Linked DNA regions of Notamacropus eugenii. The protein of the gene in region 3 interacts with the protein of the main gene of each other region in a biochemical or structural test. Links are inferred from orthologs where the notes say so. Each region holds a gene or a part of one and is shown on either strand. Other genes may lie near its edges. The genes, in order: CRKL, PTPN3, ERBB2 and PLCG2.

What was found.
Region 1: the proteins of ERBB2 (region 3) and CRKL form a complex in vitro, tested with the Homo sapiens proteins (2 studies listed by BioGRID and IntAct, with this or other methods). The link is inferred for Notamacropus eugenii from reciprocal best matches to the Homo sapiens genes ERBB2 and CRKL.
Region 2: of the proteins of ERBB2 (region 3) and PTPN3, one has a biochemical effect on the other in vitro, tested with the Homo sapiens proteins (2 studies listed by IntAct, with this or other methods). The link is inferred for Notamacropus eugenii from reciprocal best matches to the Homo sapiens genes ERBB2 and PTPN3.
Region 4: the proteins of ERBB2 (region 3) and PLCG2 form a complex in vitro, tested with the Homo sapiens proteins (2 studies listed by BioGRID and IntAct, with this or other methods). The link is inferred for Notamacropus eugenii from reciprocal best matches to the Homo sapiens genes ERBB2 and PLCG2.

What each region holds. Positions count from the first base shown.
Region 1 is NC_092875.1:9,006,656-9,013,502, reverse strand, and holds the start of CRKL (crk-like protein), read right to left. Parts: upstream 3,007-6,847; 5' UTR 2,986-3,006; coding exon 2,675-2,985; intron 1-2,674. UniProt on the Homo sapiens protein: May mediate the transduction of intracellular signals.
Region 2 is NC_092874.1:313,226,993-313,234,101, reverse strand, and holds the start of PTPN3 (tyrosine-protein phosphatase non-receptor type 3), read right to left. Parts: upstream 3,001-7,109; 5' UTR 2,932-3,000; coding exon 2,859-2,931; intron 1-2,858.
Region 3 is NC_092873.1:355,228,750-355,236,148, forward strand, and holds the start of ERBB2 (receptor tyrosine-protein kinase erbB-2), read left to right. Parts: upstream 1-4,377; 5' UTR 4,378-4,687; coding exon 4,688-4,760; intron 4,761-7,399. UniProt on the Homo sapiens protein: Protein tyrosine kinase that is part of several cell surface receptor complexes, but that apparently needs a coreceptor for ligand binding. Essential component of a neuregulin-receptor complex, although neuregulins do not interact with it alone.
Region 4 is NC_092872.1:542,870,897-542,877,999, reverse strand, and holds the start of PLCG2 (1-phosphatidylinositol 4,5-bisphosphate phosphodiesterase gamma-2), read right to left. Parts: upstream 3,008-7,103; 5' UTR 2,786-3,007; intron 2,314-2,785; exon of another isoform or gene 2,226-2,313; intron 1-2,225. UniProt on the Homo sapiens protein: The production of the second messenger molecules diacylglycerol (DAG) and inositol 1,4,5-trisphosphate (IP3) is mediated by activated phosphatidylinositol-specific phospholipase C enzymes. It is a crucial enzyme in transmembrane signaling.

The DNA.
Region 1 (6,847 bases), on a different chromosome or scaffold from region 3:
GACTTCCCTGGCTTAAGACCCACCTCCTCCAGAAAACCTTCCCCACCCCTCAATTCTAATGCCTGCCTCTAACGGAATTCCTCTTCGTCCTGTCTATGATGTCCATGCTCCTTTGCTTGTCATCTCACCATTAGATTTTGAGCTCCTCAAGGGCAAGGACTGCCTTTTGCCTCTTTGTATCTCCAGGTTAGTAGCATGTGGTACAGAAAATGACAGTTAATAAATGTTTATTGACTGAAAGAGCCCTGAGGAGATTTACTTATCATTGGAGGTCACTCAGAAAATCAGCAGTGGAGCAGAACTCCCACACTCCTACTAGAACTCATCTAGTCCAAACTCGGTCTAGAACACCAGGTCTAGAGTCAGAGCAGAAGCTGTCCCTGTCCCCTCTCCAGGAGCTTCTACTTTGTCACCTGTTTGCCCAGAAGAAACATGAGTGGGTGCCCCTATCCCTGAACTGACCAGGGTTTGGGGGTCAATCCCCCCATTTCTTAGCTATGAGGATGGCAGGGTATCTTACTACCTCGGCCTGGATCTGCTCACCTGTGAGAGGGGGGGGGTCAAACCTCACACAAGAGCCATTGCTGCCCAAGGTCACCCCAGGGGCACCAAGTGTGGGAATGGAAGCCAGCTGGGGCATTGTGGGCTTGGGAGTCAGGGGACCTGGGTTCCAAAAGTGTCTCCAGTATGTGCTGAGCCAGCCCTTTACCTCCCCCATTTAATGATGGGATTTGGCCTCACCAACAAGGGTTGAATGGGCACTTTCTTCGGACCCTGCTCACTTAAGATCTAAATGAAAATTACAAGAGCGCAGACTCTCTCTCCTCTCTCTGTCTCCCTCCTCTCTCTCTCCCTTTCTCCCTCTCCTCTCCCTCTCTCCTCTCTTTCCTCTCTCTCCCTCTTTTCTCCCTCTTTCTCTCTCCCCTTCTCTTTCCCCCTCCTTCTCCCTCTCTCCCCCTTTCTCTCTCTCCTCTCTCTCCCTTTCTCTGTCTCCCTCCTCTCTCCCTCTTTTCTCCCTTTCTCCCCTTCTTTCTCTCCCCCTCTTTCTCCCTCTCTCCTCTCTCTCCCCCTCTTCCTCTCCCTCTCTCCCTCCTTTCTCCCTCTCTCCTCTCCCTCTCTCTCTCTCCTTCCTTTCTCCCTCTCTCCTCTCTCTCTCCCCCTCTCTCTCTCCCTCCCCCTTTCTCTCTCTCTCTTCCTCTCCCTTTCTCCCCCTCTGCTCTCTCTCTCTCTCCCCTTCTCTCCCCCTTTCTCCCTTTCTCTCCCTCTCTCCTCTCTCTCCCTGTCTCCTCTCCCTCTCTCCCTCCTTTCTCCCTTTCTCTCCCTCTCTCCTCTCTCTCCCTCTCTCGCTCTTTCTCCCTTTCTCTCCCTCTCTCCTCTCTCTCCCCCTCTCTCTCTCTCCCTCCCCCTTTCTCTCTCTCTCTTCCTCTCCCTTTCTCCCCCTCTGCTCTCTCTCTCTCTCTCCCCTTCTCTCCCCCTTTCTCCCTTTCTCTCCCTCTCTCCTCTCTCTCCCTCTCTCGCTCTTTCTCCCTTTCTCTCCCTCTCTCGCTCTTTCTCCCTTTCTCTCCCTCTCTCCTTTCTCCCTCTCTCTCTCCCCCTCTCCTCTCTCTCTCTCTCTCTCCCTCCCCCTTTCTCCCTCTCTCCTTTCTCCCTCTCTCTCTCCCTCTCTCCCCTTTCTCCCTCTCTCCTCTCTCTCCCTCTCTCGCTCTTTCTCCCTTTCTCTCCCTCTCTCCTCTCTCTCCCCCTCTCTCTCTCTCCCTCCCCCTTTCTCTCTCTCTCTTCCTCTCCCTTTCTCCCCCTCTGCTCTCTCTCTCTCTCTCCCCTTCTCTCCCCCTTTCTCCCTTTCTCTCCCTCTCTCCTCTCTCTCCCTCTCTCGCTCTTTCTCCCTTTCTCTCCCTCTCTCGCTCTTTCTCCCTTTCTCTCCCTCTCTCCTTTCTCCCTCTCTCTCTCCCCCTCTCCTCTCTCTCTCTCTCTCTCCCTCCCCCTTTCTCCCTCTCTCCTTTCTCCCTCTCTCTCTCCCTCTCTCCCCTTTCTCCCTCTCTCCTCTCTCTCCCTCTCTCGCTCTTTCTCCCTTTCTCTCCCTCTCTCCTCTCTCTCCCCCTCTCTCCTCTCCCTTTCTCTCCCTCTCTCCTTTCTCCCTCTCTCCTCTCTCTCTCTCTCTCTCTCCCCCTCTCGCTCTTTCTCCCTTTCTCTCCCTCTCTCCTTTCTCCCTTTCTCTCTCTCTCCCCCTCTCTCCTCTCCCTTTCTCTCCCTCTCTCCTCTCTCTCTCCCTCTCTCTCTCTCTCGGTCTCCCCCTCTTTCTCTCCTTTCTCCCTTTCTCTCTCTCTCCCCCTCTCTCCTCTCCCTTTCTCTCCCTCTCTCCTCTCTCTCTCCCTCTCTCTCTCTCTCGGTCTCCCCCTCTTTCTCTCCTTTCTCCCTCTCTCTCTCCCTCTCTCCTCTCTCTCCCTCTCTCGCTCTTTCTCCCTTTCTCTCCCTCTCTCCTCTCTCTCCCCCTCTCTCCTCTCCCTTTCTCTCCCTCTCTCCTTTCTCCCTTTCTCTCTCTCTCCCCCTCTCTCCTCTCCCTTTCTCTCCCTCTCTCCTCTCTCTCTCCCTCTCTCTCTCCCTCTCTCTCTCTCTCGGTCTCCCCCTCTTTCTCTCCTTTCTCCCTCTCTCTCTCCCCCTCCCCCCCGCCCCGCACCTGGGCGCGGGCTCCAGCAGCGTGGTCGTGTCCAGGTAGTGGATCTTGTAGAACTCGAGCAGCGCCGGCAGGTGCTCGAACTCCTGGTCCCCGATCTTGAAGCGCCGGTTGGGCAGCGAGTTGATGATGTAGTGGGACACGCGCGAGTTCTCGGACACGGACAGCACGTAGTCCCCGGGGCAGGTGGACGAGTCGCGCACCAGGAAGACGCCGTGCCGCTGGCCCTGCAGCCGGCTCTGCGCCTCCTGCCGCGACACCGGGCCCACGTACCAGGCCGAGCGGTCGGCCGAGTCGAAGCGCGCCGCCGCCATGGCCGCCGGGGGCCGCGCCGCCCCGGGCGGGGGCGCGCCGGCTACGGAAGCCCGCGGGCGAGCTCGGGCCGCCGCCGCTCCGCCGAGGGCCGCTCCCCGCGCCGCGCCCGCCGCCGCCGCCGCCCCGCGCCCTCACAGGCCCCGGCCCGCCCCGAGCCCGCGGCACCGCCGCCGCCGCGCCCGCACCATCGCGCGCCGGGGCCCGCGCCCCGCCGCCCCGCGCCGCCGCCGCCCCGCCGCCCGCCGGCCTCGCCGCTCCGCCGCAGCCCTGCTTCCCGAGAGCCCCAGCAACAAAATGGCGGGCGGCCGGCCACCTCCCCAGCCTCTTCGGGGGCGCCCTCTGCGCGTGCGCGGCGCCCGCCCCGCCCCTCGGGGCCCTCGCCGGTTGGCCGGCCCGGCCCGCGCGCGCCCAATGAGGATCGGCGCTCGCGCTGCCCCGGAGCTCGCGCCCATTCGCGGCGCCGCCCTCCCGCCTGTCCGCGTGAGCGCCGGAGCACGCCCGGCACGGGAGGGGGGAGCGGAAGGGGGAGAGGGGGAGGGGAAGGGGGAGGGGAGGAGGGGGAGGGGGGAGGGGCGGGGCGACGAGCGGAGGCCGCCGGGCGCTTCCTTCGGTTTCGAAAGGCCGAGCCGAGGTGGGGAAATCTCGCCTGGAGTCCGGGCGGGGGGAGGGGCGGGGGGCGGCCCGCCGGCTGGGCCGTAGTGATCCGTAACGACGCCCCTCCTACCTTCCAGCTCAGCCATATGTACTAGTAATGATCCGCACCCAAATCAAACCTCGGGCGGGGGGTCCCTGACCCACGCCCAGGCCCGGCGGCCGTATATACCAGTAACGATCCGCATCAATATCAGACCTAAGCTACATTTGTAATCAGTCCCAAAGACGCCCTCTCCTCAGCCGTATTCATTAGTGACGATCCGCACCAAGATTGACTCTCCGAGGTCCCTGGGCAGCAGCAACCCAACCTTGGGTGTCCCAAAGGCTCCCCTCGGGGTGTGGAGGCCGGGAAGGGCTCCTGCACCTCGGGTGGGTCCGCTTGTCACTTACCTGTCACCTGTGGCTCCCCCACGTGCTCCGGCCACACCCCGCAAAGCTAAGGGCGACCAGTGGGCTCCAGCCCCTTGGCTGAGTTAGGGGGTGTCTGCCCCCCCAGAATGGGCCGGGGAGAGTTCTGAAACAGAGCTTGGCTGTCCTCCGGACCCGTGTCCGGCGCCAGACTTGGGGCCACTGTGCTCCACCGAAGTCCAGTCCGGGCGCAAGTCGGGCCGCACCCCTATCTCCTTGGTCCCCCCAAAGCCAAGGCTGAACGCGTAGGTAGCGCTTAGTAGGGGCCAGGCCTCCCACCACACCTGGGAGGCAGTCCCCGTTTTACAGAGGAGAAAACTGAGGCTCCACCACCTAGGGAAGGCTCCTGATGCCAGGCTCTTTCCAGGGCCAGAGCCAGGACTCCCCTGCCAGCCCCTATACTGAGTGCCTCTGCCTCACCCCCATTCCCACCAGGGCATACCCCAGACCGGGCAACTTGAGCATCGCTGCCCATCCCCATCATCAAGGATGCTCCCCAAGAGAAGCCAGCCCTAGGCTGGGCAGAGCTGTCTTTAGCTTGACCCTTCCCAGTGGTTTGCCCCTTGTCTGCCCCATTAGACCCTGAACTGCTGGAGGGCAGGGACCCACATTATATGCCAGCACTTAGCATGGCACACAATAGGCCCTCAATCAATGCTAGAGGACAGATTCATCCACCACCACCATCCTTCCCCAAAGCTCCCTATGTGGTACTGACCTGTACAACCGCAGCCCAGGCCTTACCCTCTTCCCTTATGAATTCCTGCTTTTTCCCCTGAGGAATGGGGGGGATTCAGGGGGATCAAAAGTCCAGGTTCTGTTGACTGGCATTCCCCACCCCACCCTGGCCCCAGCCTTGTGAGGGAACTGGCTCTGGCAGCAGGTAAGCTGCTGGCTCCAACTCATTGCTGGTGCCTCTTCTTCCCTCCCCCAGATCCTCTGGGAGAGCCACACTTCCTGCCAGCCCCACTTCACGGGGATAAAGCAGCCCATGACTTGGGTTGAGATGTGGAGACTTCCATCAACAAGATGTTCTGTGGTCCAAGGCTCAAGCGGCAGGGGACCTGGAAGCTGGCGATTAGCCCAGGGGAGATTATTTGGCTACTGGGCAGAGGCAGAGATGAGAAGGGAGACGTTGAGGCCCATCTCTGCCCCTAGCTAAGTTCTGAACCTTATAGACTCAGCTTAAACTGCTTGAAACCCAGCAGTGAGGAGGCAGCCTAGATATTTATCCGCTCACTGCCCTCTGGTGGCTAATGGGAATATAGCAACCTCTTGGGAGACCTTTCCACAGAAGTGACTACTAGGTTAATGGTTCAAAAGAATTCCACCTGCTGGGAAATTCAGGTATGGTGCTCCCTCGGTGGATAACTAACACAGAGACATGTTGCCATCCAGTAGGTTTAAGGAAGCCAATACCAGTCAGTTTGGACTGCTTATACTGCGGTTACCCCGGTATCTCAGGTAGGACCCACAGAAAGGGAGGAGGGTCGATTTGTTACTACCGGTATGACTTTTGGACAAGCCACTCTCCTCCTCTGGGGCTCAGTGTTCGGAGGAGATGATCTCTAAGCCAGACACCAAGGTGCTACATGGATACCTATAGAACCAACCAATCCATCAACAAACATTGATTAGGTGCCCGCATCATGTGCCAAGTGCTGTGCTGAACTCTGGGGTACAAAGAAAATCGATAATCCCCACCCTCAAGGAGTGTGCATTCTAATGGGGGTGCCAACACAGAGTAGAAGAATGGTACCAGCACCTGGGGGGAGGAAAGGAAAGCAGGGATTCCAAGAGACCTAAGTTGGAAGGGAGAGCATTCCAGGCTAGGGATACTCTATGCAAAGGCATGGAGATAAAGATGATGCATTCTGTTTGAGAAACAGTAACTAGGCCAGGGTGGCTGGATCTTAGGGAGTATGTTGTGTAGGGCCTTAACTGCCAAACAAAGGATTTAATCCTGGAGGTAATAGGGAGCCACTGGAGAGTTTGGAGTGAGGGGTCTAATATAATCTGATCTATGCTCCACAAGGGAGTAATGGATGTATTGGATGGGGAGAGACTTGACTCAGAGGGATGAGTGGAAGGCTAGGGTGATAGTCCAGGTGAGAGGTAAAGAGGGCCTGTATCAGACTTGCTGTTTATGTAAGAGGAGAAATGGGGAGAGGTAGAGGAACAAAGTTTAGTGATGGACTAGATAGAGAGTGAAGAGATTTTGAAGTTGGGTGTCTAGAAGGGTGGTATTCTCCTGGAAATGCAAATGCCAACAACTCTGAGGAGCCATTTCACCTCCACCAGATACGCTAAAATGACAGATGCTGGAGAAGATATGAAGAAACAGGCTCCCAGTGTGTTGTTGGTGGAGTAGTGAACTAGCCCAACTATTCTGGAAAGGCTTCTTGAATGGCAGAAAGGTGAAAGGAGCAAGCATGTATTAAGTGCCTACTTTGTGTCTGGCAGTGTGCTAAGCATTTTACAAGTATCTCAAACCTCACAACTACTCCTGGAGGTAGGTGCTATTATGACCCCCATTTTACAGATGAGGAAACAGAGGCAGGCAGAGGTTAAGTGACTTGCCCAGAGTCACACAGCTAGGAAGTGTCTGCGTCAGGATTTGAACTCAGGTCTTCCTAGCCCTCCATCTGCCATGCTAGCTGGCTGCCTTCAGGAATTATCAATGGTAGAGGAACGGCCGAACAAGTTGTGGTGTATGAATGTAATGGAATACTATTTCCCATAAGAAATAATGAGCAGGCAGATTTCAGAAAAAACCTGGAAGAACTTATATGAACCGAA
Region 2 (7,109 bases), on a different chromosome or scaffold from region 3:
AACGTTCTTTTCAATTTTAAATTTAGAATTCTCAAACTCAAACTCAAACAACTCAAACAACCAAAGCAGGGCAAAAATGTTCTGTGGCAGAAAAGCGTTGCCAGCCTCCTGGGTCCTTGAATGACCAGTAATAAGGTTGGTCTACAAAATGCCTTCGTTTTAGCAAGGTGCTTGCCTTCCATGTCCTTTCCTGTGCTATGTACACATTCTATCTTTTCTACTCTTTTTTGTTTCCCCAATTCCTAATGGCCCTCTTGCCATCCATTCAATTCGATGAATATTCATTAAATGCCTACTGTGTGCAAAGTATCGTTCTGTGTGCTTGGGATACAAAGATCAAAAAATAACTACCACCACCCAAGTCTCTGCCCTGAAGAAACTTAGATCACTACTGTTAACTCTCATAGGGAGATTTCCTAGTTTCTGACTACATTCCTAGAACTTAAACCAAACCTCTGCCTTGCTCTGCTCACGAGTATTTGTCTTCCTGAGTCCCATTTGTCTCTTCACCTTCTGGAGTACTGCTTCATTGATCCTCACATTACAGCTAGGTCCCCATTTGTCCAAGTAATTCAACATGGCATATTTTCATTGGGCTGGAACCAAGGACCATATTTTACAGAATTAGAACTTCAAACAAGGTAAATTTAAATATATGGGACCACTTCTGGCAAACCGAAAGTTGTGCAAGCCTGCCCCAGAGTCATGTGGTAGAGGTAACCTACTTCTACTCGGTAGCAACATATCTAAATGGTAGTTTCAGAATGATTAGGGAGTGAATACATCTATATAAAGGCTTGAAAACATAAAATGTTATAAGGTAACAGTATCTCACAATTCTCATTCGCATGTACCTTTATACTGGTAATAAGAGAAGATGAGCAGGGCAAGTTATGTGGAAAAATATATTTCGTGGATAATTAGAAGGACAGTCCTTTCTTTAGTCTTATCTTAAGCATATTAAAATACAAACATGCCATAACATCTAAATTTAAATAATGAAATCAGATTTTTACAACTCTCCCCTATTAAATAGCACTACAACATAATTTCCTTTCCTCCAGTTATAAAATCAAATGTTTGCATGTCTGTATGTTGTACAAAAAAGAAAGTCAAATCTACCATATGAATCAAAAATATATAATCATCTATATAATAAATTAGTTCATCTATAAGTTCTTCATTAAGTCACATTTCCTATTTCTAAAAAAACCACAGTGTAATGGAAAGAGCTCTGGATTTAATAATCAGAAGACTTGGATTCAAATTCTGGTTCTGGCACTTACATACCATCCATATGACCTTGGTCCAGTCACTTGGCCTCTTGAGAGGACTGGATCAAAATTTATCTGAGGTCCTTTCCAGGTCTAATGAAAACTCAAGAGAATTTCTCACCAAAGGAGTTTCACTGAGTACTTCCCTTCACCTACACAAATACAAGTGTTCTTTTCTTTTTAATGTAGATAAACATGGCTAATTACCATTCATTTAGTTCTTAAATATATCTCTACAATGTAATGCCTGAAAGAATATACATTAACTATGGAGGATAAAACCTTTTCCAATGGAAATATTTTTATTTAATTTGCTTAAAATGCTTTGAAGTATGTCAGGTTCTCTTTTAAGAGCATGCACATTCATACAAACTAACATGAATAGAAGAATTTAGTCATAATAAAAAATAATCTTTTCTGAAGGACACTGAAGAAGACAGCGAACATGAAATATGATCAATTAGACAACACTAGAGTAAGCTCTTGTCTATAGTAATCATTCACTATGGTGAGGAGGGCAACACAAAAGCATAAGGTACATGGTCATCCCTTCCACACCGCGACTTTCCCCACCGTGGTTTCAATACATCATGGGATGGTATAAGAAATTAAATGGGAACTTTTGTAGAGTTTTGTAGAAGCTGCAGAGGACACACAAAGGCCAGCAGATGACACAGAGTCTATGCTTAAATATTTAACTCAAACTTTACAATAAGGCATTATAAATACCCTATTAAAAAAAGAAAAAAATTCATACTTCTCTAGTACAAAGAGAGGGCCAAGATTTTTTCTACAGATTTTCCAGATCCAGAAGGTGCTGTGCCCCTACTCTGTCCATTCTAGAAACCTCATTAGTTTGTCATCTCACAAACAATTACAACTTGTGATTCTTAAGAGTACATTAGCTAGTCAGATAGATTAATTTGCATTTTTATATATTCTTGGGCCCTGGTGAAGGCACAATACGTGATAGTACAGAAAAGATGAGAAACAGAAGAAATGAGAGAGGTACAATGAAGATATTCAATTCTTCACCTCCACCCCCAAAAAAGTATTTTTGTCCCTTCAAAGTCTATGTAATCTATAAACACCACCTTCTCAGATTAACACAGTAGAAAGAAGACTGAATCTGGGGTCCCAAGTTGTGGGTTCAAATCCCAGTTTGCTATTTGCTACTTATGTGACCTTGAGAAAGTCATTTTACAAGGTCTCATTTTTTCATCTATAAAATATAAATATAAAATTAAATAAATAATATAATATAATATAGAAATATAAAATAAAATATCTATAAAATCATTTATAAAATCTATAAAATGGTTGGATCTCAAAAGTCTCTTCTAGCTTTAAACCTAAGATGCTTGATATGAAACTGACCTACCTCCAGGTACTTCTTTCAACCTTTTCAATGATTTTAGCACCTTGATCCCTGTTTCTTTTTCCACCTAACTCCCAGTACTCATCATTACTATTCATGTTGAGGCATTCTGAACACATAATTCCTCAACCTGTTCAACTAATTTTTTTCAACTGAAGTCTGAAGAATTTATCATTTGCCATCTCACTGTACTGTACACAACCCACCTTGGAGACCTTGACCTTCAAAATTCCTCTCTCTGATTGCAATCTTCTGTTCTTCTCCCTCTCCCACTCTCATTAAAATGAAACCAGCTTTTCATCTCTTTAACTTTTTAGAGCTACAAGCAATTCTCTAAGACAATAAGTTGCCAAATCGTTCCCTAACCCCTACCCCTTACTCCCCACTCCGAGAAATTTGGGTCTTTCATTTCTGCTAATCCCCATGCTTGGTAAGGCTTCTCAATCCAATTTCCCTGCTCTTGTTCCTAGCCTGCTGAGTAATGCTAAAGGAAGCCATGACACTGAGGTGATGTCACCCATTAAAAATTTGTTATAAAACAGCTGGGCTCTCATTGCTCAACAATCCTACTCTCCTTTTGACTCCCTATGTCTTTTTAAACCTTTTCCTCATTCCTTAAGTGCAACCCCACCCATATTTCTAGTACTCTTAGCAGATGACAATCTCCCACTTACTTTACTGAAAAGATTGAGGCCAGCAATTGTGAGCTCCCCAGCCTCCAGAGTCTTCTGGTCATTACGTAACTACTCAGCATCATCTCTGGCTCTCTCTTCCTTCCCTCTAGTCAGAGGATGTGTTAATACCCTTCATTAAGGGTATTCCCTCTATCCGTACCTCCTACCACATGATCAAGGCCTTTACTTAAACAATCACTTTGTATGTCCCTCTTTCCCACACATCCTCAATCTCTCCTCTTTATTGATTCCTTAACAATCTACCTAGAAAAATATTCTGGTCTCCCTAATCCTAAAAAAAAAAAAGTTTGTTCCAATCATTACTGTTCCATTTCTCCCTTACCCTATAGTACATATTATTTTGGTGGGGAGTGGGGAGAATACAGTATCTAAAATGGTCTCAACTTCCTCACTCCCTTGAAATCTAGTTTATACATTTACATTTCTAATGAAACTTCTCTGAATGGTCACCAATGACCTCCCACTGGCCAAATTCAGTAAGTATTACCATCCCTTACCACTTCTTGACCTGTCTATAACATACAACACTGTTAATGACCCTGTCGTTTGGAATACTTTCTCTTTCAACACTTCAAGCACACAAGCTCAAACTAGTTTCTTTTCTCTCTCCTTCCTAGGCTGTTTTTCCTCTTTCTGGCCCCAAAAGTAGGTATTCTCTAAGATTCTCCCTTTAGCTCTCTCTTCTATGCTTTGTCCTTTGGCAAAGGAATTCAGTACTCTTCATCTATCTGTACCAGTGGTCTCCAAAACTTTTTGGCTAGTGGTCAAGCACACAACAACGTATGTATATTTACTTATTTGTAAATTATATGACACTACTGTACTCAATTTTATGCATTATAAAATTTACATACACAAAAACAAATAGAAAGGATGCGATAAAGATGAAATATTTGTAAAGTTAAAGTGGGCAAGATCCACTAGAGTTTATTGAGTAGGGTAGTGAAATGATCACACCTTCAATTTAGGAAAATCACTTTGACAGCTATAGGTTCTATGAATGCAGAGAGGAGAGGCAGGAAGTCCAATTAGCAAATTCATAATAGATTAGACAAGATGACGGGGCCAGAACTAGGCTGTGTGAGTAGAGAAAAGAATCAGCCTGAGACACGTGGTGAGAGAAACAAGATTAGACAAGTGACTGTATGTGTGAAGTAAAGGAACATGAAGAGTAGATGACATTGATGTTGTGCAATTGGGCAACTGGAAACATGGCAGTGTTCTTGAAAATAATGGGTGGGCTTCAGGTGGAAGGGAAGGAAGATAACGTATTGAGATCTATGATGAAGATCACTACACACCTATGCCCACCTGTTCTGTGCAAAAGACTCAAAATGAAAAAGAGAACGGCAAGGATTTCATTCAAGGGTCACTGCCTAGGAATACGGAGACTGTCACAGTCACAAGGTAATCTGGGGGGAAGAAGGTGGGTTTCCTTTTGGGGAAGTAGTTGATTTTTCCAATAGCACTTAGCCAGGTGCTACTATGGGTGCCTATGTTGAAGATTAAGTTATAACTGTCCTGAAGAGCCAAAACTAGCCTCAGAAAGGGTGAAGATGGAAGCATGCACAGCAGAAAGAAGAGGCAGAGCAGGGTAGTGTTGGGGGTAAGGGTAAGTGTGGTTCTGTTGGAGAGATCCCATGATTGAACACTGAAAGGCAGGTGGGATGCCATTCATCTTCTCCTCCAATTGGAGGATTACACATCTCTTGGGATCAAGCCATTGCCTAAGTAGGGATCAATCTACAGTCTCCATTATGGAGAGCACTGATGGACACAGATGACTCCCACATCTCATCTCTTCTTATCTATATCCCCAATTGTCTATGGAACTCTTCCAATTGAATATCACAGTAGCCTTTCCAAATCAATGTGTCCAAAACCAAGTTCAACTTTCTTACTAAATCTACTCTTCCATCTTTACTACTTCCATCCACAGCACTAACATTCACTAAGTCTCCAAGAGATTCTTATGTTGAATTAGTTACCAAGTCCTACTGATTCTTCCTCAGTAACATTTTTCATATCCAACTCCTCACCTCCCAAATACAGGCTCCCATCACCTAGCAGGATAACTGAAATAATCAATCAACATGAATTCTCTTCTCCTTTCTCTTCCCCGTCCAGACTATGACCCTTTATATTACTGCCCAATTAGTTGCCTTTGTACATAATTCTAATCATATTACTCATCTGATCAAAAATCTTCAGAGGCTCCCTACTTCATACTTCTCTACCTATGTATCAAGGCTATCTACAATCTAGGACCCCCTGTCTTTCTAGCTTTATCTCATGCTACTTGACTACAAATACCCTAACATGTAGCCACATTGTAGATTTCTCTGATCCTCTGGATTGGGCTTTCCTTTGTACCATTTACTATACCAAGAACAGAGACCCTTTTCAACTGTCCAATGCCATTCCTTCCATGAAGGTTGTCCTGATCTTCCCAGTCATTAACAATCTTTTTCCTTTTCAATTTTTTCAGTTCTTTATTAGACTTTCAAATACATTTTGCATAATAGCTGTATACATACTAGACTGTACAACTCGACTGCATATTTAATGCTCAACTAAACCAAATGCACAGATTGGTAAACTGCAAATAATAATGTCAAAAACTAATGACTGAGATTACAGCAAAATAAATTATTAAATAAAAAAGATTACTACATCTAGAACTACAACAACAAACTTGTTTCCAAGAAACTCTGTAACTCAATTCACTTAGACTGAATGTGAGCTTGGTTCTGTGACACTGTATACAAAAGAAGTATATAGCAGAGTTTCTAACTAAAAGAACTTATCTCTGAACAAAACAAAACTAAGATACATGGAAAAGTATATACACAGTGAAGGGGAAGAGAGTTCTAATAACTGCAGAAGATCAGGGGACCACAAAGGACCACATGAGGGCAAACCTGGAACTAGACCTAATGAATAAGATTAATATGAACATACAGTAGGATAGGGAGAATATTAGAGATAGCAAAACAAAATGAGGAATGGTAGAGAAGCATGAATTCATCCATGCAATAACACCTCTTCTTTTTTCTTTGTATGTGACCTAGGATTATATTGGTATAGAGAACTCCCAGTGAGGAAACTCCCTCCTTAAGGATGCAGATGGGCATTTGCTCTGTACCTTACAATCTTAGAGAGTTTCTTGGAGCACCAAGAGAACAGTGAAGAACAGTGGGATAAAAAAGATATTTGGAGTCAGATAGGTTCAAATCCTTCTTCTAATCTTGGCTACCTTGGGTAAATCACTTCACGTCTTGGATGAACTTCCTCATCTATGAAAGGAGAGGGCTGGAGACCCTTCCACTTTTAAAGGCTATGATCCTATACAAAGATTTTTTTAATTACATATGTATTTTCCCCCAGCAAAACCAACCAATGCAACAACTGTTTCTCTAGTACATGCAATTTTATACAACTATAGTCTCCCAGTCTCCTGGAGAGAAAAGGGAAGAAGAATATACAAAGATATTTAAGACAGTCTCTCCCCTCATGGAGAGTCCAATCTAGCAACAGGAATAGGACATAAACAAATGTATAATACTATACAATAACCATTATTGTTTGTCCGTTTCCAAAGAGGACCAATGACATCATGGTGGTGATTGTCTTGACTCATGCTTCAACTGGATTTAAGTGAGACAGAGTTACACAAAAGCCTCACTCTCTCTTCCCAAGTCACTGATGTCCAGTGGCACGATGACTGACAATGGCCTGGAATGCAGTAGATGACCTTGCTGT
Region 3 (7,399 bases):
GGGGGACGAAGAGACAGGAGGGAGTTTACCCTGGTTGTCCTGGTTATAACAGATACGTTTGTATTCCTGGGGCCTATTGAGGTGCCTAATAGGCATCTTGATTGGATATCAATAAGTAATTGATAGGTAATATAGGAAAAACCCAGAGAACGTTGTACACAGTAAATGTGTGTGTGTGTGTGTGTGTGTTCGTCCTTCATTGCTGAAGAAAACCATGCCATCAGAGAAATAATGACATGACTTGCACTTCACTTTGTTTTGAGTGAGGGAGGGCTGGGTGGTGCGGTGGATAAAGCACCAGTGCAAGAGTCAGGAGGACCTGACTTCAAATCTCACCTCAGACACTTGACACTCACTAGCTGTGTGACCTTGGGCAAGTCACTTAACCCCAATTGCCTCATCCTGGGTCATCTCCAGTCATCCTGATGTATATCTGGTCACTGGATACAGATGGCTCTGGAGGAGAAGTGAGGCTGGTGACCTTGCACAGCCCTCCCTCACTCAAAAAACAAAAAAGTCAAGTGCAAGTCATGTCATCATTTCTCTGATGGCATGGTCTTCTTCGGCAACGAAGGATGAACACACACAGTAGCTATAATGTTGTAACAATGATCAACTGGAAGAGACTTGGCTACTCTGATCAATACAGTGATCCAAGATAATTCCAGAGGACTCATGACAAAAAAAATGCTATCCACCTCGAGAGGGAGAATTGTTGGATTCTGAAAGCAAAGTGAAGTATAATTTTGTCACTTTTTAAATTTTTCTTGCACTTTTTTGCAATATTGCTAATACGTAATTTTTTTGCATGATTTCATGTGTATAATTGATATATTGCTTGCCTTCTCAATGGGTGGGAGAAGGAGGGAGAGAAGAAAGAATTTGGAACTCAAAATTTAAAAAGAATGTTAAAAATAAATAATAAATTGAAATGGCTTATAAACATAGAATCAGATTTAGAACTGGAAAAAACCTTAGAGATCATCTCAACTAGTACAACTCCTTTAATTTATTTCCTCAAATGATATAATGAATATAAAACACTTTGCAAACCAGTACTCTAGAAATTCTAGCCATTATTTGAAAGATGAGGAAAACCTGTAAAATGAAGTTATGGGATTTGCATGAAGTCACACAAGCAGTAAGCAGCAGGTCCAGACTTAGAACCTTGGATTCTTGGATTCTTGGATTCTTAAACCAGGTTCTTGGACACCTAATCTAGCACTCTGAATTGAATGAAGCATGGAGAATAATGCAGGTTAATTAACACATAGATATATAGGCATAGATGTACATGCACATATTAATATACAAATTCAAACTCAAGTGTGTGTGCACACTCTCCTTAAGACTTAGATTCAGGGCTGGGATCTGTAAGCCCAGGGATGAGGTTAAGCCCAGGGATGTGGCCTGAACCTCGGACTTTTTCTCTCCTCCCCAGTGTTTGTTTTCAATTCTTTGACCCCAGGGTGGCTGGGGAGATGGGTGGGGTTGAAAGGGAGGAGACTCCTAGGAAAGCACTCCTTTAGAGATACACACATGCTCTGGCACACACACACACACACACACACACACACACACACACACACACACACACACACACACACACACACACACTCAAACACACACACACACACACACACACACACACACACTCAAACACACAATGCTCCATGTGTCCCCAGGGCCTTGATGGCTAGTTAATGATTGATGGTATTTCACATGCCATTGATTCCCAGACTCTAGCCAGGCGACCCTTAGAGGTCACCCCAGAAAGGTGGTGCCCCACGCTCTCCCTTCAACCACCAAGATCTAGGGAGGAGACTAACACTAGGAATAGTAAAGCAAAGCTGCTGCCTTCTAACCCTCACCCATGTCCTCCTGTCTTTGTCCTCCATTTTCTCTTTTTTCCTGTCCTTCAGTCTCCTGCCACCTACCCTTCATCCTTCTGGCCTTCAGGCTTGTTTCTGTCCCAAAGTTTCCCTCAAAGCTCCCTCTCTTTTAGTCATTCCCCTGTCACTCTCTCTCTTTCCATCATTCCCTCCTCTCTTTGATCCTTTGTTTTGTTCCCTCCTCCATTTACCCCTCTCCCAGCACCTCATTTTCCTCCCATAGTCTATCTCTGTGTGCCTGCTTTCTTTAATGTCCCCCATTCTCCCTTGATTTCCCATTCCTGATCCTCTGTCCTATATATAGAGAGAGTATTTACATATGTACTGTATATAGTCACCTCTATTTCAGTCTCCTCTCTCCAAAGTTCCCCACTGCTCCTGACCCACAAGACTCTCCCTCTCTAATTGTTCCCTCAAACTCAATCTTTCTCCTAGCCTCTCCTGCCAGGCCTTATGGGGAGAGGGGGGGAGTTGGAAGCACAAGGAAAGGGAGATTTGAATCTGCTGGGCCCACCCCCTGCCCCCTCTTCTCTACTCTTTCAAACAGCAGACAAGAATTTTCCCCCCTTCCTTCCTAGCTCTGAATAAGCCCATTCTCTGTCTCGGGAGTCCAGCCCCTCCGTGAGCCTCCTCCCCAGGAACAGAGATCTAACTTCAGCTCCTCCTCCCCCCCCCCCACCCTCTTGTCTGTCTAACCCCTCCCCTCTTTTTGCCTCCCTCCTTCCTCCTCAGCCAGCCACTGACACCTCATTGTTTTTCCAATGAAGACTTCTGGCTAGGAGGGTGACTCTGGTCTGGAAGGAGGCGACCTAGGCAAAAGAAGTGGTCTGCAATGGCTCCATTTGTCGTGTGTTCTAACACCCTCACCCTCAAGGTTTTCATAGGTAACCAATGGTTTCTGGTCAGAGAGGACACTGATGGGGTCCTTGATTTCTTACTATTGAGGCTGAATCAAAGCCTAACATCTACCCCACCTAGTTGGTCTTCCTAGTCTGCTCCCACCCCAGCTCACACATAGAGTGGAAAACTGGGGAGAAGGAGGAGGATGAGAACAGAAGTAAGAATAGGGAAAGGGGGGGGGGCAACTCTTACTTTTTACACTTTCTCCCTCATTAAGATGGTATCACTCAGCTCCCCACACCCTCACTTTCCCTAGGCTTCAAATCTCCTGTGTGAGCCAGTCAGATTTCACTGACAATAACAGCTATCCTTGTGTTTATCTTTGTTCTGTGTGTCCCATATTCCCCCCACCATGGACTGGAATAGCCTTGCTTCTCCCCTACCAGGAGCATCCTGGTTAGGAAAAAAAAAAAGAGCTCTGGAGAGAAAGAACTCTGAGGACCTAAAGAATCCTTATGGGATGAAGGGGACCTGAAACAGAAGCCCCATAAAAGGGACTCTGGACCCAGAGAGAGTCTATAGACCATCAGAGACATTCCCCCCAAAGGAATTCTGCACAGAGACTCCCCAGATGGGTACATACCTCACAAAGGAGACCCTAAACGTATGGAGGATGCCTTGGGCAGAGAAGTTCCACATAAAGACAGTGAACAAAGGGACATACAGACACTCCACAGAATCTTCAAAAGAGAAAACTCGCAGAAAATCCCCAAATGGACGAATCCTGGGCCCAGAGAGACTTATACAGAAGGCTCTGAACAGAGACCCATGTGAGGCAGCCTCGGTCCGACACCAAATTGAGGGGGCTGCTTAACTAACATTAACTAAATCTGTCCCTTCCCCACCTTGTAGTAGTCACTTTTCTGAGCCTGAGTTACTGCCTTTTTCTCTCAGAGCCTGAGAAGAGGATGCCTAGAATATCTCAAACTTAGTATATTCCCTTCCCTATCCTTCCACAAAAGAACTGGAATTTGCGATCCATCCACAGACCAAGGGCTCTGTAGACATTTCAGGAGGTCTGTGACCTTGGATGGGGAAAAAGAAATCTTTTATTTTCACTAACTTCTAATCTAACTGAAATTTAGCATTTCCTTCAGTTACATAAAAACATTATTCTAAGAAGGGCTCCATTGGCTTCATTAGGCTGCCAAAGGGGGTCCATGACACAAAAATAGTTAAGAATCCCTGTTCTAGAAGAAAGGGTTGGAGTAGATAATTGAGATGAGGATGAGCATGGGGGAAAGGAATGGAGCTTGTTAATAAAGGGAAGGGGAGCCTGGGTTAGGAGAAGATGGGGAAAGGCAGCCTTGATTAGGGTTCCCTCCAGATTAGAGGGTTGTGTAACAGTAGACTGGGAAAGCCTGGTGATGGCAAAAGTAAAGTATCCCGTCTGTCCCCAACCCCTCCTTCCAGGAACAACAGGTTTCTAAAAAAGTCTCTAGATTCAGGGGAGATTGAGGCACCCCCAGGCCTACCCAGGGAGATAGAAAGTAAAGCTGGGAGCAGCCACTGCCACTCCCAGAGACTTGTTGGAATGTAGTTGGGAGGGGGGGGGGGGGAGGGCGGGATCGAGACCGAGCAGCGCGCTCCCGAGAAGGAGGAGGAGGAGGAGGAGGAGGAGGAGGAGGAGGAGGAGGAGGAGGAGGAGGACAAGCAGTGACTGCTTTGAGGAACTACAGGAATGAAGTTGTAGAGCTGAGATTCCCCTGCAATCCTGGCTAAAAGAGAGAAGTCAGCAAAGAAGAAAAATACCTCCACTGAGCCAGTGACTCGCTCAAGGGGATTCCTGCCCGGATTGGGGTGCTTCCCAGGATCCCCTTATCTCCCAGCTCTTAGGTTCCATCGGTCCTCCTCCTGAGCCTGGGAGCCATGGGCCCCGGGCCGAAGTGAGGACTATGGATCTGTCGGGCTGCTGCTGTTGGGGGCTCCTTCTGGTCCTCCTGCCCCCAGCAGTCTGGGGAACCCAAGGTGAGTCCGACTGGGAGAGAACTGTCTGCAGCCCTTTCCTGCAAAGAATTCTCAAGGGGAAGAAAAACTTAGGGGCACATTTGACAGGGATGAGGAGTGGGAGTGAGGAAAGCAAAGATTTAGAAAGCATGGGAGTCAATAGAGAAGAAATATGACCAAGCCTCCGGGGGAAGGGGGACTCCCGGGAGGGCCTGGGGGGATGAAGTCAGAGAGATGAAGCCAGATCAGGGAGGTAGATAGGGCAGGGGGTAAAGTTACATTGAAGGGGCCCGACATAGGGCTTGGGTCCCAGCCAGCTCTTGTCAAACGGGGAAATAGTCAAAAAGTTTTACAGAATTGACCAGAAGGGGGAAAAAAGTCCTGCTAAGTTTTGTGTGTGTGTGTGTGTGTGTGTGTGTGTGTGTGTGTGTGTGTGCGCGCGCGCGCGCGCGTGCGTTTGTGTATTCGCGTTCATATGTTCCTTCTGTTTGACTCTTAAAATCCACAGCCACTAATCTCCAGACTGAACTGGGCTGGGCTGGCTTTCTGGGGGGGGGGGGGGGGGTCCTAATTTGTTCTTCAATCCTCCCTCCTCTCCTGCCCCCCCACCCACTCTCTACCTCAGGTTGTTACTACTCCAATTCTGCCTTGGGCTGGGGGGGTGGGGTTGGGAGGGGGCAGAGAGATAACCAGTTGGACCAGGAGTGGGGAGAGAAGAAGGTTGTAGGTTTGCTTGGATGTTACCACACTCACTAGTGTGGGGAGGGAGGCCTAGAGACGGAAGAAAAGAGGGGGCGGGTAGGGGAGACAGTTGTTTTGAATAAATTTCTTCTGGGCCAGTCTGGGAAGGAGAGAAAGGCTTAATTTTGTTGGGCTTAACTCGGCAGGTGTAAGGGATGGGACATAAAGAGGGGTTCTGGGGTGGTCTTGGGGCATGGGGGAGAATTCCAAAGGTTGGGGACTTGGCAAACTAAAAGGGACCACTTGGAGCTGAAAGGGTAAGGGCTGTTGCTTTTGGTTTGGCCTTTTCCTTCATTGAGGGTGGAGGGAGAAAGGGATGAGGTGGGATAGGACTGAAGGCTGTTGAGGGCAGCATACACTTGAGGAGAGGATCTTGGCGGATGTTGAGTCTCTCTCTATGTGCCTCTGGGGGCGGGGTCTGTGTGTGTCTCAATGTCTGTAAGTCTGTTTTGTCTGTATGTGTGTGTTCCTTTGTGTTACCAAACAACGCTGACTCCATAACTTGGGTTCTGGGGAACTGTGCTCTTTGCATACCCAGGATCTTTGAGATGACTGAGTCAGGTTTGCTGGAAAGCCCCAAATAAATGTATCCCATCCTCTCCATTTGGATCCAGAACATAGTACTTAGCTCTCCCTCTCTGACCCCACATGTTTAGCTTCCCGACCCGCAATCCAGAATCTCTTCAGACTCTAATATTCTGGCTAAGGCAGGACAGTTAGTGTGTAATCTGGATTCTTGAAACTATGTTTTTGTTCAACTGCTGAAAAAACTGGGTGACCAAGAAAGGAGGCCTGATGGGAGCTTCTGTTATGTTGGTAATATGGGTCTATAGTTCTCTCCCTGCCTCAGTTTCTTTACCTTTGTGCCTCAGTTTCCACAGGTTTCCCTACTACTGTTCTTATGCTCATATTTTTAAAAAATCCTTGATGGACCTGTTCAAAGGAGAAAGGAGATGAATATGTTGGGGATGGGGGGTATTGAGGAAGGAGGGGAAGGGATAGTCAAAGGGTCAGTTCTTCATACAAGTTGCTCCCTATCCCGTCTCTTCAGGGGCAGCATACTGTAAGGATATGTCATAGGTAATTCTACCTAAAGGAAACTACCTGTGAGGCTACAGGAAGGGGCATTGAGGAGGGACTTCAGAGTCTGGGCAAGGGGAGTGAATAAAAGGCAGAGAGGTCAGACTTTTGCCAGAATCCTATCTCATAGGCTGAGGAATTATTGACTTTGAAAGCCATGTAAATTCTCAATTTGTGTATTATCTACAGCTTATGCTTATGATTATTAATACTGAGGTTGGCTCCCCTATTATCCACCATTCCCTCCCCCGCATTAGTGGTTGTGCTCCAGGGAAGTAAACTCATTTAAGTATTAAGTAAAGTATAATGGGGAAGATAAATTCATTGCATTTCAAAGGTCAAAATAAAATACTTTGATTTTGTCATCGATGACTAACTTGTGAGACTGAGAGTCAGTCACAGTCCCAAATTCACTTTCCCTAAAGGCAGCATCCTGAAGAGTGCCATTTCTCTTTTTCTAGAAAAATAATTCTGACCCAGTTGTCTAGTCTTCCAAGGGACCAAAAAAAAAAAAAAAAAAAAAAGGAAGGCATTGTCTTGCCCAAGTCGTGGAAGTTCTTCACCTCTGTTGCAACCTTGGACCCCTTAGACAGTATGATGAAACCTATGAATCCCTTTTCAGAACAGTGTTTTTAAATCATTTAAAGATGTTATATTTCAGTTAGAAGTTAATGGAAATAACTGCATTTTTTTTCTCCATCCAAGTTCATGGACACCTTCCCCCCCAAAAAACCCATGGTTCATGGACCCCAGATAAACAGCCTTTGCCCTCTGGTGTAATATAAAATGCTGGACTTAAGCCAGAAAGTCCTGGGTTCAAATGCCATCTATGGAGCTTG
Region 4 (7,103 bases), on a different chromosome or scaffold from region 3:
TGCCAGTAGTATTCTGTCACAATCATATACTACAGCTTGTTCAGCCAAACCCTGATAGATGGGCATCTCCTCAATTTTCAGTTATTTGTCACCACAAAGAGAGCTGCTATAAATATTTTAGAACATAAAAGTTCTTTTCCTTTTTGTCTAATCACCTTAGAAAACGGGCCTAATAGCAGTACTGCTGGGTCAAAGGATATACTCCTGAATATTTCTCTTCTCTTGTTTGGGTCTCAGTCTTCTCAACTGAAAAATGACAGGGTTGAAGCAGATGACCTCTCAGCCCTCCCAGCTTGGCATTGATGATTCTACAATTCTCATTTTGTAAATGAGGAAACTGAAAAGCAGAAGAGTTACGTGTCTTAAGGTCACATAGCTTTGGAGGGGCCAGGAGCCAGACAAGTGCTATATCTCCACTACTCTGTGCTTCCTCTCATCTTTTAAAGAAACCCTACAGACATGAAACACAAGGAGTTCCTCTAGATATAAATGGAAGAAACGGTGGGATTTTCTAGTTGCTTAATACTTCTGATACTTTAATACTAGAAGTTGTTTTTGAAGTATTTTCCTCTCCCAGAATATAGTTATGGAAGTCAAATGATAATATCCTCCGGGGAAAAAAAAATGTCTATTTCTAAAGCCGAAATTTAGACATCTCTGAGCATTAATGTGGTAGAACCTATTTATACATATTTCCTGATCTCCCACCTCACCCCCACTGAAAACTTGCGAACATTCTGGAGAACAATATGCAGGAACAATCCCATTTCTTGGAATCCCCCAACCCCAAGAATAACTGAATGGACCTAGCTGTACAAAAAACGGTCAGATATGCTCCATTGGAAATAACAAAAAAAAAAAAAAGATTTTAAACAACATTATGTCTAAAAATTGAAGAATAAATAAGATTGAATCAATTATGGCATACTGATATAATGGAACATTACACCCAAAATGATCTGTGATATCAGCAATTTGAATGTTCCCTCCAACAATACATGCCTTCCCCATCCTATGCCACTCCTGTTCATGCCCTTCTACAATTTCACCAAAGAGCGCCCGTCCAAAGTGCCAGAGGCCTTAACCGAATGTTATTCTGCCATCAAAAATGATGAATATGAATCATATGAGGAAATATGGAAAGAACTTTAGGAAATGATGTAAAATGGAATTAGCAGAGCTAAATCTTTCTGCATATTGACTAGAGACAGCTGGTGGCATAGTGGACAGATGAAAGACCTCTGTGTTAAAAATCTAGCCCACACACTTACTAGCTGTGTGACCCTGGGCACCTCACTTCACAACTCTGCCTCCTTTTTCACAGCTGTAAAGTGGGGACAATAATAGCACCACCTTAAAAATCAAATGAGATAATACTTATAAAAAGTGCTTAGCAGAGTGCCTGACACATAGCAGTCGATACATAAATGCTTATTCCCTTCTCCCCTCCCCCCACCGACAAGTGACAAGCAGAGACGCAGACACTGACAGTCAGACCCAAGAGATCGAAGCTCCATACGGACCTGAAGGAGTCCTTGGAACACAAGCAGTTTCCTTCCTTGTGTCTTACTTTGATTACACCTTGTTAAAGATTCTGTGTAAGACTTTACCATTTTGTGTTTGTTCATTTGCTTATAACATCAAGAGAGGAAAAGGAAACCTATTACAGAGATCTCAGGACCGAACTGTGAAGTGGTGTTACTAATGTAGAAACTCAAGTCCTCTGTTCTAACGAGTCTTCACGGCCACAGAAGAGTGAGATCCGTCCACACCAGCCCCTGATCAAACCACTCCAGGGGGCAGCCCCAGACTCTACAGGCTGTGCTTTCCAGCCCCTCCTCCCTCGACTTTGCAACTAAACTTTGTATGTCCAGAGTGCCTAGGACAATGCTCCACACACAGTACAGATTCAAGTTTTGAAAGGAGAGGAAGACCACAATTTGGACACACAACAGTGAGAAAAGTGAGCTGGAATAATCAAAAGAGAAGTGAAAGAAAAAGGAAGACAGGTCTGTCTAGAGCAGAGAGCACCACACAGGGAGTTCAGGATGGATCGAGGTGTTTGGGGCTCTCCTTGGTGGGCGAACCCCAGGAGAGGAGGTTGGAAGATTCCAACGCAGGAGGTCCAAGGGTTAAAGGGGAGAGAAGGGAAGGTGATCCTTGAGCCCCAACCAGGGATCACGGAAGTCAGACAAAGTGAGGGACCCGAGATGTCTGCCCCTCACCTCCCACCGCACACACTCCGGAGCACCTCGCAGCAGGACAGGCGAAGGGGAGCAGCTGGCCAGCAGCACCCAGCCCACAGCTGCACGGCTTCCTTCCCCTCTTTTGCGAAATGCAAGTAGCGCCTCAACAGGACTGGCGCGCCCCCTTTCCCCCAAATTGCGGCCCCTAGAGGGAGTGGTTGTCCCCCAGGGGGTGCCCAGGACCCAGCTATACCCGGCTTATTCTAACTGCCCGAGTCCAGGCAGTGAAGCAGTGAGTGGCAGCAGATCGAGAGTCACTCTTTCTCTGCAGCAGACACACGCACTAGATATGGAGGGTGGCACAGGGACCAGACCGACAGCCCGAAATCCTGCACCCCCTGACTCAGTTTGGATGCTTGACGGGGAAGGGGGAGTCCGTTCCTTTCGGCAGTCCCCCATCCACTCCGCGCACATCCCTACTTGGATGCCCACATGCATGCCTCCATGCATCCGTAACATGCCCTCCTGGCACCAGCCAGGACGGGCAGCTCACACTCCGCTAGACCCAACCCCTCCCCAGGGGCAGTCGCCAAACTCACCACCTGTAACCAGGGTGCTCTGCCCCTGGGCAGGAGTGCAGAGTGAGTGACAGAGCTGGGGAGGCCAGCCTGCCGCCCAGGACTCCCCCCAGGACCCCTGCACGTCAGGGTTGTGGCTGCAGCTACCGCCCCTTTCCCGGTTGGTCTCCAGGACGCTCTGGCTCCTGCCACAGGGGCCGTTTCCTCACTCAACAGTTTGAACTTCTGCTTCTGCTTGAGGCTCCCAGCTCAGCCCTCCACGTGATCACCCGCCTCCCTGCAGGCCGGCCTTGCCCCGGCCCGGTCCCTGCCTCCCCGGAGACCCGCCCTCCCTCCTCCAGCCCGGGGCGGGGTGCTCGGTGGTGTTGGCTGCTGCAGAAGCTTCCGGGCAGACCAGCCTTGAATTAAGGCCAAGCGGAGCCAGAAGGAGCCCTCAGCCACAGGCTCTGGGTTCTCCTTGGCATCCCACCCACCCACCCCCAAAAGTTCCTTTTTTATGGTTACTAATGTTTCTGCAAAGCAGACTCTGGGCGCCAGTGACTCCCTGTTACCTCCAGGATCACATATGAAATCCTCTATTTGTCTCCCAAAGCTTTTGATAGATGGCCCTCCTCACCCCTCCTGGGCCTTTCCAATCTTCTTACACCTTACCTTCCCCGCCGAGCTCAATGCCACTGGCCTCCTTGGCCGGATGCTTCATCTCCAGACTGAGCTTTTCCACTGCCTGGAGTTCTCTCTCCTTCCTCATCTCTGCCTCCTAATTTCCCTGACTTTCTTGAGTCTCAGCTAAAGTCCCATCTTCTGCAAGAAGCCTTTCCTCAACCTTAGGGCCTTCCCTCTGAGACCACCCCCAACTTGTCCTGTAGCTTGTTTATACCTAGTTGTTTGCATGTGGTCTCTCTCAATAAACTGTGAGCTCCTTGGAAGCAGGGACTGTCTTTTTGTTTTATTTTGTCTTCCTTTGCAACCCTTGCTTAGCACAATTCCTAGATACTAAGAGGTGCTCTTACATCTCTATCTGAAGACCCCTGACGTTGGCCAACTGCCCCTTCTATAAAGACATAGATAAATAAAACTGACAACCAACTTCTCACAGTGATTTAGAGTACCATTTCCTTAACCAAAATTCAGTTTGATATAACATGTATAGTCCCAACACTGTGCTAACTCACAAAGAGTCAAAGTATATCAAAATTGGGAGGACCCTCTAGACCACTTCCCTCCTTAGTGGATCCCTTAAGGGACAGGGTGGCCATGTAAAGAGCCCTGGATCTGGAGACAGAAGATTCTAATCTCTCCTCTTTTACTACAGCTAGTAACTGGTAACTACAGTAACTACAGCTTTGGACTTGAAATCAAAACTATCCCTGTCTTCAAACTTAGCTGAGTAACCTTGCTCAAGTCTAGCGCAGGGGGGAAATTTTTAGATCTGGAATCAGGATTCGGATTGAAATCCCAATTTTGCTATGTAGTACCTATAGGAATTTGAAGAAGTCATCCAACTTCCTCCGGGCCTCAGTTTGCTGAACTATAAAATGAGAGAGCTGAACTGGTAGTGAGCCTTTTGGAGGTCTCATAAGATCTAAGTTGATGGAACAACACCTTAGCCCCTCAGTTTCTTCATCTGTAAAATTGGAATTGAAGATTCAGAATTTTAGAATTGGAAGGAATTTAGAAGCCGTCTAACCCAACACACACTTGAAAAACAAATTCCCCTATAGCATAGCTGCCAAGTTATTACCCAACCTCTTCTTGAAGACTTCCAATGAGGGAGAGCACCCTACCTCCAGAGGTAGCCTGTTCTACTTATGTGATGATTATGTTACTGAAGGATAATAATACTTCCACAGCACTTCCCTCACAAGGTCATTTGGAGGCACCAATCAGATCATGTGCGTAGACCTTTTACAAACCTTAGATTCCTATATAAATGTCAGCTGATATAGTTGTGATTACTTGTATAACCTTGGGAAAGTCCTGTTCTTCTTTGATACATGTTCCTCATCTGTAGAAGGGAGTACTGGACTAGATTAGATAACTCTTTTCAGCCTTAAGCCTTGACATGATTTCTTTCCTCTGAAAGTCAAAGAGCTCTAAATATATGTGACACTAAAACCCAGTTCCTTTCTCTGTCTCTGTCTCTGTCTCTGTCTCTCTCTGTCTCTCTCTCTGTGTCTCTGTCTCTCTCTGTCTCTCTCTCTGTCTCTCTCTGTCTGTCTGTCTGTCTCTCTCTCTCTCTCTGTTTCTCTCTCCTACAGGTGTTTTGCTACATATCCTCACACATGCCTCATGGAATTGACAGGGGACTTGTGAAATTCCAAAAATTACAATCACTATGCTAAACAAAAAAGTTTTCTTGCATTTTGACTTTATGTGGTGTCTTTCAAAGAGTCTAGGACTTTCTGAAGTATCTCCTTCAGTCCCTGAGGGATGTCACAGCTGCAGGGCTGGGGTGGGGGGGGGGGCTGAGTTGGGGAGGGGAAGGGAAGGATGGTGAGAGAGTGAGGAACAAAGCGGTTAGAGATCATTTGCCTGGAGACTTTCAAAAGTCTTAGCACAGTCAGGCACAGGAGTGGCTAAACTTTGGGTTTGACTAGAGCCTGTTCCTGAAGGAAACAAAGGAGAGGTGAACAATTCCAAAAATTCTGAGACTGTGCTTATGATTCCCTAAGAGGAAGAAGAGGATTATCTGCTGGTGTAGAGAGAAAAGGAGGCTGGATAATAAAATTCAGACAGAAATCATAAGCTGAAGTTCTCCAGATTCTAAACTGGGCCCTAGAGGAGAGGGCTGGCTAGAAGATGGTGCCTGTAAGTAATCGTGTTGGCCCCAGGACAGAGAAGATGAGGGGGCACTTTGGTGACCGATATTCCCCCAGCAAGTTTACACCTATGACCAAAAATATAGCCAAGAAATGTGTGTCTTCTTTAAGGTAACACCCTGGCCTCTTGTGGTTTTCCTTTTTTTTTTTTTTTTTTTTTTGGAGAGGGGAGTCCAGTATAGGAAACTCCTGATAAAGGAACTCCCTCTACCAATTCAAATCAGCAAATATTCTGCAACTTACCACCTTGGAGGGCTGACTAGAACAAAGATACTGGAATGGTTTGCCATTTCCTTCTCCAGTTCATTGCACAGATGAGCAGACTCATGATACTGTAGAAAAAACACCAACCCATGAGTCAAAAGAACTGGCTTCTAATTCTGCCTTTGAATTTCACTACAACTGTGACACTGGGAGCAAGACTGAACCTCCTGAGCCTCAGTTTCCTTATCTGTAAAATAGAGGAGGTGAACTAGATGATTTCTGAGATTCCTTCCACCTCTAGATTGATAATATAAGTATGGAGGGGCAAGAAAGACCCTTGGTCACTGCCCCCCCACTTTCTTTCCATGCTAGAACCCTGCTAAAAGGTCAAAAACCTATGGATGCCTCTAGATACCCTGGGTAAGTCATTTAACCTTATTTACCTCAGTTCCTCATCTGTAAAAGGAGCAGGAGAAGGAAATAGCAAATTACTCCAGTATCTCTGCCAAGAAAACCTAAAATGGGATCATGGAGAGTTGGACACAACTGAAATGATTGAACGAACAAAGTTAGAGGTGACCCAAGGATGAGACGTGATGGGATAGAATGCAGGAATTCTTACCATAGAAACAGCAATGTCCTTACTATGTTTTGAGTCACTAGCATTTTAATAAATAACCATTTATGGTACTGTAGTCTGTAAACAAATGTACCTATCAGCCCCAGCCATTTCCTCCTTCAGAGGTACTCTAAAGGTCACTTCTGTTGGTATTATAAACAGTGCCTCTATTGATGGAATCATAGAGGCACTAGGAACAGCAAACAGTTTAGGATACATACCTGTACAAGTACAGCCAAGATTTTAGCATAAAAAAAAAAAAGATAACTGCAAATCCACAAGCTACTCTGTCTCATGATACTGACCAACCAAATTGAAGTTCTCACTTTCCTTTTCCTCTGCATCATCAACTCAGTTTATGCCTGATCACAGTAAGACTTGAATTTTCCCAGCCCCAATATCTTACATATACCTGGATACAGCTTCTCTTAGGCAATCTTTAAGTTAAAAGTTGTACAAATCGGGTCACCCAAGGCTCAAAGCTCAGCTTTCATTTTTTCCAAATTTGTCCAGAAAGAGAAAGTTCATTTTGCCCCCTGGGCCAGTCTTGGACCTTAAGATCAGATCAGCTTGAATTTTTTCCAGGTAATTTCCCCAGTAAAAATCCTGAGAAGGGACTCACTCTCAAAATTAAATTAATCCCTGCTTTCCTTCAATGTTCAGCTCAGATGTTACTTCCTACAAAAAAGACCTTTCC